Linked DNA regions of Oryctolagus cuniculus. The protein of the gene in region 1 purifies or fractionates together with the protein of each later gene. This does not show direct contact. Links are inferred from orthologs where the notes say so. Each region holds a gene or a part of one and is shown on either strand. Other genes may lie near its edges.

What was found.
Region 2: the proteins of ING3 (region 1) and EPC2 purify together in Homo sapiens (affinity purification with mass spectrometry; 3 studies listed by BioGRID and IntAct, with this or other methods). This does not show direct contact. The link is inferred for Oryctolagus cuniculus from reciprocal best matches to the Homo sapiens genes ING3 and EPC2.
Region 3: the proteins of ING3 (region 1) and ACTL6A purify together in Homo sapiens (affinity purification with western blotting; 3 studies listed by BioGRID and IntAct, with this or other methods). This does not show direct contact. The link is inferred for Oryctolagus cuniculus from reciprocal best matches to the Homo sapiens genes ING3 and ACTL6A.

The regions. Positions count from the first base shown.
Region 1 is NC_091434.1:156,954,760-156,958,410, reverse strand, and holds part of ING3 (inhibitor of growth protein 3), read right to left. Parts: intron 2,528-3,651; coding exon 2,456-2,527; intron 1,627-2,455; coding exon 1,507-1,626; intron 1,221-1,506; coding exon 1,063-1,220; intron 493-1,062; coding exon 299-492; intron 1-298. UniProt on the Homo sapiens protein: Component of the NuA4 histone acetyltransferase (HAT) complex which is involved in transcriptional activation of select genes principally by acetylation of nucleosomal histones H4 and H2A.
Region 2 is NC_091434.1:93,444,153-93,447,803, reverse strand, and holds part of EPC2 (enhancer of polycomb homolog 2), read left to right. Parts: intron 1-2,698; coding exon 2,699-2,835; intron 2,836-3,651. UniProt on the Homo sapiens protein: May play a role in transcription or DNA repair.
Region 3 is NC_091435.1:100,246,963-100,251,231, reverse strand, and holds the start of ACTL6A (actin-like protein 6A), read left to right. Parts: upstream 1-1,427; 5' UTR 1,428-1,613; coding exon 1,614-1,638; intron 1,639-4,269.

The DNA.
Region 1 (3,651 bases):
TTCTCTGTATTTTTAAGCAGACTGAATATGATTCATCAAAACATAAAGAATACAAATACACAAAAGTAGTAAATGAAAACTATGACTATCAAGCAACATGTGAATACTTACTGTGGATAGGACAGGGAACCAAGAGTGTTAAATTCCAAAACTGTTTGGCATCAAAATAAACACATCTTTTAATACCATTTTTCCATGAAGTCTGTGAAGTACCCTCATATGAGGAAGCCCAGCAGGGATGCCAAGTGGCCTGAGCACCCAGCAAAGGTACAGCAGGTGCAGTCACGTGCACACTTACTTGCTCTTCCGACCACTGCGCGAGTCGGCGGCTGATGAGCTGGCATTCTGTGTTAATGTTGTCATGAGTGCTGACGACGATGAATAGCCAGCTGTCTCCCTGGGCATTGAAAATTCTTTTCCCAGCTGAAAGTCATTATTCTTAAAAGCTTCATAACTGGCCTTTAAACTTGACGTTCTTCGTCCCTCTTTCATCTTCAATAGACATGCATTGATAGCATTAATATTATGTAAATGCATGGACTTTCAAGCTTTATAAGGTTCACTATCATTTTGGTTAATTCAGTATTTATTTTGCTTAAATTATTTTTTTTCGGTATTGGAATTTAAGCTATTTTATGGCAAGATTAAAATTAGTTTTTACACAGGTAGTAATTACCACATGGGTAACTTCTTAATTTGGAATTGAGATAAACTGTTCTGAGTAAACAGGACAACCTGTACCACTGCTAAAGAGAAAGCCTTGAACTGACAGAAAGAGCAAAGAATGACCCCCGCACGTACTGTGACTACAGTCAAGACATGGGCAACAGGAGTGATTACCAGATGAAGGGTCTGCATGATACATCTGTTCTGTACCATTCATTATCAACCAGGGGACTCCTACCTACTAGTCATTAAATAAAATGTCAGGTATCAATACAACGTTAAAATGAAATTATACAATGTCAGAAAACTACTGCTCATATCTAGTTCTTTCTACAAGGATCTGCCAATGATTGAAACAAACATAACATTTTATCTCTAAAACCTTTTATTTCTTACCTGAGCTGTAGCTTGCACTGCTTGTGCAGCTGCCATAGTAATTGCCCCCGCACCAGTTCCTGAGGATAATGAGCCGATGTTATAGGATGCCAGAGGCTGGGAGGAATTCACATTGAAAGCATTGTTGGAAGAGGCTGTGGAATTATTATTTCGACAACCTATGTAGAAATATAGAAAAAATGGTTGCAGACCATAACACATTAGTGAGTTTAAAATACATTATTTCCTAGCATAGATACAGTCATTAAACTTAAATTTTTGATGTACTATGAATTGAGTCAAATGAATAATGTATTATATTTTTCCTTCTTCTTTTTCCCAGGTAGACAATACACAGGTAAACAAACTGTGGTTTTTGAAGCCTAAACGTTTTCATTTCCCTTCAGTCTAACACACAAAAAAGCTCAATTAATCAAATAATCATCATTAAGGAAATAAACTTACCTAATGTGTTCTCCTTAGAGGCATCTGATGTAAGGGTGGATAGAAGAGCTTCAGATTTAAACTTCTTTTCAGGAATATGATCTGCTGTTGTATGGTGAGATGTTGGATTATATTTCCTTTCTGAACAAAAAATAAAAAATTCACATGTATAAATTTTAGAGAACTATGGACAAGGCATAATATTTCCAACCAGTTACAAACCAGTGAAGTTATAACCTGAGTTCTTCATGAAATTCAGACCATCACGTTTTCTCAGAAGAGAGGACAAGCAGAACTCTGTGTCACACGTAAGCACAGACATCTCAGACACTTTAAACACTTGCAGCAAAGGACTGAAGACAATCAATCCATGATGCCCCATGGCTTCACATAAAACACGAGGGGAATTCTGTTTTCAAAACATTATCTACTTTTGGAATAGTCTTCAATACCCTTTTTTCTATCAAACTGATTTGTCAAAAAAAAAAAGTATCATTACAGTCAGTCAACTGTCTAATCAGCCACCTGACAATTCCTTTAATCACTAACTCAGAGAGCACTTGAGATGTATTATATACCACACCTTCGGCTAAGCACCGAGAAGTCCAGGATGAAAAAGACACAAACTCCCACAAAATAGTTTACGGTCTGGCTCTGCTGTATCACTCCCTAGAGAGACTCAGACAGCTGGAGGCAGGCAGGGAGTATATGCTGCTGTTACTACCATACATTCTCCCTGCTATGAATTTCAGCATAAACAGTCGACCTGTTGCCAAACCAAACATGCTTTTCCCAAATGAAAAAGATACATCTGCCTGCAATTGAAAAGAAAAAAAATTCTTTCACAAAAATAAAAGGGAAAGGTATTTATTTCTCATTGAGTTATGCAGAGCTAATAACAGAGAATATCCAGGTGGTATAATGATTTTTTAATGGCACTTAAAACTTAACCGCACTCAACCAAACTTACTTTCCACTGGGGTATGTGAATGAGCGTGGTGATTGTTCACTGGCTGTGAAGGAGTATCTAATTCCAAAGATCCTAGAAAAAGAGGCACAGAGATACGCCAACATTAAATGTCACCACAGAAATCAACAAACTACAGGAAGTACACTCCCTGAGGCAGAAGACTGGCAAGCTCTGATGTCCATGCCCAGACCGAGTTAGTTAGACATGTCAGAGGGTCAGCTTTGCCAGTTCTACTCAGAGCTCTCCTCTCTAAACAATGAGAAATACATTTCTCCATATTCACCTTAAGCACAATATAGCTCATGGCATGCTAATATCTAATGTCGAATTAGGGAATTCAACAAAGTGAGTGCAAGAGAAATGGATGAATGGACATTATAAGCCCAGAACTGGCAAGATCTAAAAGACTCAGCCTACTTTAATTGTGTTGAAGAACTTTTAATGGGAGATCCTAAGTTCTAGGTGATAAGGTCATTGCTATATGGAAAAAAAAAAAAAACCTTGATCATTAAAATGACATATGATAGTAAAGACTTCCTAAAATAATTTAGGGATTTTGCTTGCAAAAAGTGAGAAATAGAATCTCTAACACCAGGCTTAAAATACTTGCAAAGACATTTTCTGGGTTTATTATTGATCCCTTGAGATGAAATTATGGCAGGGCACAGGGTGGAATGGTTTTTGTAACTTGGTCCAATTTAGTTTCATGTGTCTGTGTCCTTAGGATGCTTTATTAACCTTCCTGCAGTACTGAATAGGCATGAATCATCATATTCACAGCTATCATCAGTATTAAAAAAAAAATGAAAGCAGCTACAGAACACTTCATTTTGTCCCCAAATACTTATTAACCTCAGACAGGATTCCTCCAAGATAAAAGCACCACAAATAAATCAGATAATTATCTAAAGTGTTGGATCTACTTTTGCATTAAAAAATGTAACTAGCAAGAGGGATTTGTAACTGGCTTCTCTAGCTGACTAGTGAGTATATGAAGAGACACGTAGCCTAGCACTATAAAAAAACAAGATACATAATCTTGCTATTGAAAATCATCAAGGAAAAAAACCTTATAAATGCTTTAATATAAATTCTAGAAGAAATTATTCATAATATTTATTTGGTTCAATTAGTACTTAATGGGTTCCTACCCTAGGCCTAGCATCATACTGTCTGCTTTTATGTACATTATCTAT
Region 2 (3,651 bases), about 64 Mb from region 1:
CCACTTGCCAGCAGGTCAACTCTGAAAACAGCAATTCAGTAAAACCATACATTTCTTACCACTTTGTTTTCATCTCACAATGATAAAGGAGTCAGAAAGGATATTCTAGTGTGTGTTCCAGTTTTGTGCCATGATTACTATTTGCTATTTTTGTCAAAGGATTTGAAATAATGCTGAACAATTCTCTAGAAATTTTCTTGTTTTCAGCACAAAATACCTTTATAGTAATGAAAGAGCTGCATGTCAAGAATAAATATAACATACAGAACTTGAGCTGTTGGGGAAGAGAAAAAATGAAAACGAGTTTTAAAAGTATATCCATGTTAGAGAATAAAGTTTGTGTCAGTGGTTCTCCGCCAGAAATGGGATCAGGGATCAAATTTTTGGTATCAAAGTCAGCAGACAGTAGCCCCATATTTTTTGACACTTCTGAAAATTAAGAACTGTTTTTCCGTCATAGTAATACAAATTTAATGTTGTGGAGCAAAAATGGAAGTATATATAAAGCTTTATTCATCTATGAGGGTTAATCAACACTTCACAGAAAATAGACTATACTAAACATAACTTGTTAGATGTCTAATTTATCATCACTTTTTTTTTAATTTGTGACTAGTAAATATAAAAATTTGGGGAAATCAAATAGCTTAAGTTAGGATAAATTCCCTTAGGTCATATAGATTGCATTCTTCCATTGCATGTAGAGATTGACACAAATTACTTGGTATTGTTTTTACATGTATCTTTGCTTCATAGCTACTGCAGGATTTTCCTCTTGATTTACTTTTTCCTGTATTCACTGGGACTCTTGGCATAGTCCTCTGTATTATAGTTGGCAATAAATATGTATTGGGTGAAGTAGCTGGGAGAGAGGAAAGGAGACGGTAAAGAAAAATAGAACAAAATTACTCTGGAGTGTTTCACTGTTGCCTAACTCTAACAGTGTACTTCTATGTAATTAGCTTATCAGTGGACTACTTAAACATTGATAAATAAATTTTGTTTATATTTAAGAGAAATTCTCCATATTACAACTATTATTAGCTGATCTTTTTTTTTTAAATTTATTTATTTATTTTATTTTTTGACAGGCAGAGTGGACAGTGAGAGAGAGACAGAGAGACAGGTCTTCCTTTTGCCGTTGGTTCACCCTCCAATGGCCGCCGCGGCCAGCGCGCTGCTGCCGGCACACCGCGCTGATCCGACGGCAGGAGCCAGGTACTTCTCCTGGTCTCCCATGGGGTGCAGGGCCCAAGGACTTGGGCCATCCTCCACTGCACTCCCTGGCCACAGCAGAGAGCTGGCCTGGAAGAGGGGCAACCGGGACAGAATCCAGCGCCCCGACCGGGACTAGAACCTGGTGTGCTGGCGCCGCAAGGCGGAGGATTAGCCTAGTGAGCCGCGGCGCCGGCCAGCTGATCTTTTAATTGAAAATTTTAGATGTGTTATTTTTATTTAAAACTTTTTTTACTTGAGAGAACTCTCTCTCTAAAGTTCTCCCATTGGCTAGTTCACTCCTCAAATTACTGCAATAGCTCCCCAACTGGAGCCAGATCCAGGAGGCATAGACTCAATGCAGGTCTCCTCTGTGGGTGTCAAGAATCCTGTCACTTGAGCCATCACTGTTTTCTTCTGAAGTCCACATTATTAAGAAGCTAGAGTCAGGAGGGAAGCTGGATCTTGAACCCACACACTCTGATGTATATGACATGGGAGTTTTAAACCACATCGTAACTTCTGGTTCATATGTCTACCCTCTACCTCCCATTAACTTTTAAAGCCCTTGGTAACAACATAGTTGTTGTATGCATTGCATATTTAATTGTATGAAACTTTTCTGAATTCTAGTTCATATTTTTACAGATAGGATTTGTTTCAGGCATTGACTTGGCTTAAACTATGGCCTATGGTTATATTAAGTGAACATCTTTGCTCTCCAATTTGTAATCAGAAAAGTGTTTTCACTGTCATGAAAACCAGCGGTCCTGTTTTATTATTAAGGCTATAACCTAATAATATTATTTATTTTAATCAATGTTTTTCTCATGTGGTCACTGTAATATACAGAATTAAGAGCAATCTCAAAGATATCAAGTCTGAATGAATGACAAAATCCTCATGGTAGTACTTTATGGTACAATAAAACCATATACAGAAACTTTTTTAAGCATGCAATTATTTTTTTAAGATTTGTGTATTCATTTATTTGAAAGGTAGAATGAAAGACAGAAATATCTCATCTGCTACCTCAGTCCTCAAATGGCCACAACAGACAGACTTGGCCAGGCTGAAACCAGGATCCTGGAACTCCATCTGGGTCTCCCATGTAGGTGGCAAGGGTCCAAGCAGTTGGGCCATCTGCTGCTGCTTTCCCATGTGCATTAGCAGGTGGCTGGACCAGAAGGGGAGCAGCCAGGACTTGAACTGGTGCTCCTATGGGACACTGATGTCAAAGGCAGTGACTCGTCCACTGCGCCATAACACCAGCCCCCAAAGCATGTGATAGTAAGGACATCTTGGATATCAGTATATGAAAGCTTATAACAAATGAAAGATTTGTCATGTCTCTTGGGTTCTTTGCTGATAATGTGTATTTCATTATTTTTCATGTCAATTATGCAGTGTTTGTCATTTTCTACTAGAGTTGTTAAAAATACTTTAAAACATATTTATTTCTGAAATTAATGTCCTTTACCAGTAACAGGGGGTATCACAGAAGAGCAGTTTCAGACACATCAACAGCAGTTAGTTCAAATGCAAAGGCAGCAACTTGCTCAGCTTCAGCAGAAACAGCAATCTCAGCATTCCTCGCAACAGACACATCCGAAAGCACAGGTGAGCCTGTCTTTTAATCATGGTTATGTTCCTTTCTTTTGTGATAGTGTAGTTTTGCTCAGTTTTAGTCAAGGAGCAGGTAATAACCTTGATATCTTAATTTGGGGAATCTAACCTGGATTTCTTTGATTTATGTAATTTTAAATAACTAATTTTCCTAGAGTAATCTCTGACTATTAACTGCTTTTGGGGGCAAGGTTATTGAGTATGTGTCTAATTATATTTTGTTAAAACCATCATCTCTTACCTCCATTTCCCTAAAAAAGATTTTGTTCAAAGATATACCTTGCCTATCACCTTCCTAAACTATTATAAACAGTGAATCACATTTCCCTGTAGAAAATAATTACCACTAGAGGAAGTTGTCCATAGACACCATTAAATGAAGACATGATACTAGGGATAAGAATAAAAACACTACATAGCACCCAGTTGCCAGAAGGATCTAGCTCTGCCACCACCTTTATATTATTCGTGTAAGACTCGCTGTGGACTTGGGCCTCCAGAGCTTTATAGAATAAATTTCTGTTGTCTTATGCCCCTAAAAACAAAACTGAATCTGTTTCACGTTTGAATCACCTGAAAAAGATAAACAAACCTTGCATTGTAGGTCTTCAGTTTTGTTTTTCAATAATACTGGAAATACTTGTAAAGTAGTGACTGAGCTTAACTCAATCTTAGCTATATTCTGAGAGCTCAAGCCATTTAATTTGTAGAGTGAATACACCTTCCTTGAAGATCCTGAGTCCAGCACCATGAAAACTTCAGTGACTGTGACGTGTACAGTCATGGGTTGTTGGCATAGTAACAGACAGC
Region 3 (4,269 bases), on another chromosome or scaffold:
TTGAGCCTCTTTATAGATGAAGCTGCTTGCAGCCTGTGAAGAGGCAGTGACAAGTGGTTGCAGTAATCGAGGGGAGAACGACAGTGGGCTGGCCTGGCTGGTGGAAATCATCTACTAAGCAGAGCAGACAGACTGGAGATGTATTTAGGCTTAGATGCTTGCCTGAATGAGCATCGATTAGCTCGTTCAATACCTGTCTCACCAGATAAAAGAAACGGATGACCTATCTAAATGTAGTTGGTACAATGCATCACGTCTTAGCCATGAATAAGCATTTTAAAAAATTGCAGGATCCTTCCCCTGGTGGGAGTTCTGGCGTGCAGAGGCCAGCTGTTTCGGCCTTTGCTGACGCCAGGCAAGGACACGTCCCTGCCTCTCGCTGGACACCTGGGAAAGGCATTGGCCCGTTACCTCCCCGCTGAGTCAAGTGTTTCCTGGTTCAGAGAGGAAGTGGCGTCATTCATGCCTCACTCCTGGCTTCCGGCTTTGATTTTGTAACCTCTGGCCTTTTTTGATCATTGGAATTGTATATCTAAGTCGGCTTGTGACCTGGCGAGGTGGTCACGGGGCTCTCCTGTCTGCCCGCCTGTTGACTGCTTGCTTTATCAATATTGGGGTTCCCAGTTGTGAGGCAGTGGCCGAGGGTGGCATCTGTGGGGAGAACCTGCCAGAGGCCTGCACGCAGGCCCGAGTCTGCCGGTGAACCGCTCTCCCTGCTGAGAAGCCAAACGCCGCTCCTCTGTGTGACTGGCGGCTGAGCCCTCAACTTGCCCTTGACCTCCACGAAGAACTGCGCGCCGTGAGGCTCCCTCCTTGCCGAAGTTCGGATATGAGTTCGTTTTCCTTTGCCAAGGGACCTGCTGGTGATTGGGAAATGCCTGTGTCTGGGGTTAACAATGGTTTCTAAGTGAATAAACGGGCCATTTAATTCTGTAACAAAAAATTAAAAAAAAAAAATTGCAGGAGCCTATTAATTTGTTTGATTCACTGGTTGACCCTACACAAAGTGGAGTACAATTTTATTCAACAAATGTTGGTTGAAAATGCTTTTTTTATGGAAAATCTTTAAAAATCCGTAAATTCACTGCAGTGCAAGGTCAGGAATTACTGCTCGTTGACACTTTATCCTATTTCCATACTTTATCCCATTTCCAGCCTCTTTCCTGAGCCCCTTCCCGCCCCAGGTTCCCACCGCGCCTCGGCGCCTGGTCACACCCCTGGGCCCGCCCCCCGACGCCTGGCTCTCCCGCTCCCTCCGCCCACCCTGCAAGCTCCGCCCCCTGGAGTCCCGCAACCCAACTCCTGCCCTCCTTCCGTCGCTTTCCGCCCAACCCCGCCCCCATGGCCACCTTCGATTGGCTAAACTGGCGGAGCCGCGGCGGGGATGCAGCGAAGCCGCATTATGATTGGCTGAAAGGTAGGCCTCCCTCCTCGTGATTGGCTGCTAAGGGGAGCCAGCAAGTGTGGCTGAGCTCTCGGGTGTGTGGACGCCGCTTTGTTGCCGGAGGGGGGTGGCGGTGGAAGTTAAGGGGGTCGGGGGCCAGCGCGTGTGGCGGCCGCTGTAGTCACTTCGCCCGGCACCTTTTCGCCCAGGAATCAAGCCGACGGCAGCCATGAGCGGCGGCGTGTACGGGGGAGGTGAGTGAAGGCGGCCCGGCCAGAGAGCGCGCCTTTTTGGCGTGTGGGGTTTGTAACCGCCGCCCCCAGCCCTCCCCTACCCGGCGGTCCCTTCCGGTCTCCCCCTCTCGGGACCCCGGCCTCCCCGCCCCATCCCCGCCCCGCGCTCTGCCCGCCCCCGGAGCCCACCCGGCTCAGCGTGCGCCTCGGGCGCCGGAGGAGCTGGGCTTTTGGGGTCGCGCGTGCTGCTTCCAGCGGGCCGGCCCGCGGCGCCCCGGCTGGAGTGTCTCGCCTCGGGGTGGCAGCCCCGCGTGTGTCTGCAAAATTCGCCCGTGTGGGGCTTGCGTCTGCGTTTAACCTGGGAGGCCCCCAGCAGTTGGCGAGCGCGGACGGAGGGTGTCCGCAACGTCCCATAGAAGGCAGAGCGGCCGCGAGAGGTGGACCGAGGGGAGAGGGGGCGGCCGCCTCGGTCTGCGCCCTGCGCTCGCGCTGCCTCACGTTCCTCAGCAGCTCCTGCCCATTCTTGACCGTGGAGTCTGCGGAGTTACTCGTGGGAGGGCCTGGTTGGGATGAATCTAGAGACACATGCAATTTAAGGACGCCCGGAAGCTTTGCCTGAGGTCCCGGGCGTCTGTTCTCTGGCTTTTCTTGAGTAGACTGTGTTGTGGTACAAAGATTACCACGGGCTGTGGGCATCGTCAAACTTCTCAGCGCCTTGGCCTTGGGCAGTTTACTTTCCCCGACTTTGCGCCGCTCGCTCGTGGGATGGGAATTCCTTAGCCAACGAGGGTGGCTGCCAAGATGGACCGACATGAAGCTACACCTGCTGCTCCAATTGAAGTCCGTGGAGCGGCAATATCAGCATCACCTGCAAGCTGTTTAGAAAGAATCTCAAGGCCCACCCTCCGTTCTACAGAGTCAGGGCTTCCATTTTTGAAAGATGCCCCAGACAATTGGAGCACTCACTGTTGGATTCACATTTTGGGGTGTGTTTGAGTTAGAGACCCAAAAGACAAATCCGAAATACAGTCAGCCTTGAGTAACTGTGGGCTCCACATCTGTGGATCCCACTAACTGTGGACCAGAAGTATTCAGAAAAAATTGCATCTGTATTGAACATGTGCAGATTTTGTTTCTTGTTATTCCCTAAAGTATAACAGCTGTTTACATAGTGTTTACATTGTACTAGGGATTATAAGTAACATAGAGAACACCTACTTAAAGTATCCAGTAGTCTGTGCCACAGGTTATAGGCAAATGCTACATCGGTTTATATAGTCGACTTGAGTATCCAAGGATTTTGGTGTATGGGGGTAGGGTCCTGTAACCAATCCGCTGCAAACACTGAGGGACTATGTGCTTGCTACTGCTACTGTTTTAGTAAGGATTCTCTTTCTGAAGAGGATGGCATTCCGCAGGTAAAGGGATAGGTAACTTTTCTAAGTTCTTAGTATTTTTGGTGGTGTAGTTTCAGAGTCTTCTCTGAGGCAGCATGCTGAGCCTGTTGCCTCCTCCTTCCTATTTTGTGTCCTTGATTTTCTTATTTTTACTTTGGATCTTGTTAATTCACCTCTTCCCCATCTGAAGATTCAGTCTTGACTCCAGAGAAACTGAGTCTAGACTCTTAGGAGCTCCAGGTTCATTGAATCAAGGATCCGGAGGCTGTCCAGTATTCCTTACAAGGCATTGTTTAGTATGACTGGTAGGAATGGGATAATACTAATGCTAGCAGCTAGCATTTATTAGGTGCGTACTGGAGACCAAGAGTATTCCAAAGGTTTTATGTGCATTATTTTTAATCCATGCAGTAACTCCTATAATCTACAACCACCATGTAAGATGGTATTATTATCCCTGTGTTACTGAAGAAAATGATGTAAAGATAGGAAAGGTTAAAAATCAGCCCAAAGTCATAATTATCTAGGGAGTTGAGAGCAAAAATCTCTGAAATAAAGGGCATTTCAGCCAAGCCCTTCCCTACTCCTTTAAAAAAGCCATTTCTTTGGTTATTTCTCTGTGTGTCATGTTTCAGTTATACAACCATAGTATTACCATGTATGACTTAGGTGTTCAGAATAAAACCACTTCTTGCTAGCTTATTCAGAGGAGTGTAAGGATTATTCAGAAAGTTTATGGAAAATGGAGTTGAATGTTTATTTTAGTGTGAACATTTTTGGAATTTAATCAAGAAAGCTTATGAAAAAACATGGATTTCAAAAATTTTTGCACCAAAATACTTAGTTTTTAATTCATTTTCCATGAACTTTTTGAAGTACTCTGATGTTTTAAAGTCTTTCATGTAGAAAGTACTTAGAATTCACAAAAGTAAGTATGATTTTGTGTTTATAGTGGATCATATTTTTCCAAGGAATTTAGTGTTAAAAGCAACCAAACCATTCACTTAAAAATGTTGAGTAATTGGGCCGGTGCTGTGGCATAGTGAGTAAAGCCACCGCCTGCAGTGCCGGCATCCCATGTGGGTGCCGGTTCGAGTCCTGGCTGCTCCATTTCTGATCCAGCTCTCTGCTGTGGCCTGGGAAAGCAGGAGCTTCTTCCAGGTTTCTGACATGGGTGCAGGGGCCCAAGGACTTGGGCCATCTTCTACTGCTTTCTCAGGCCATAGCAGAGAGCTGGATAGGAAGTGGAGCAGCC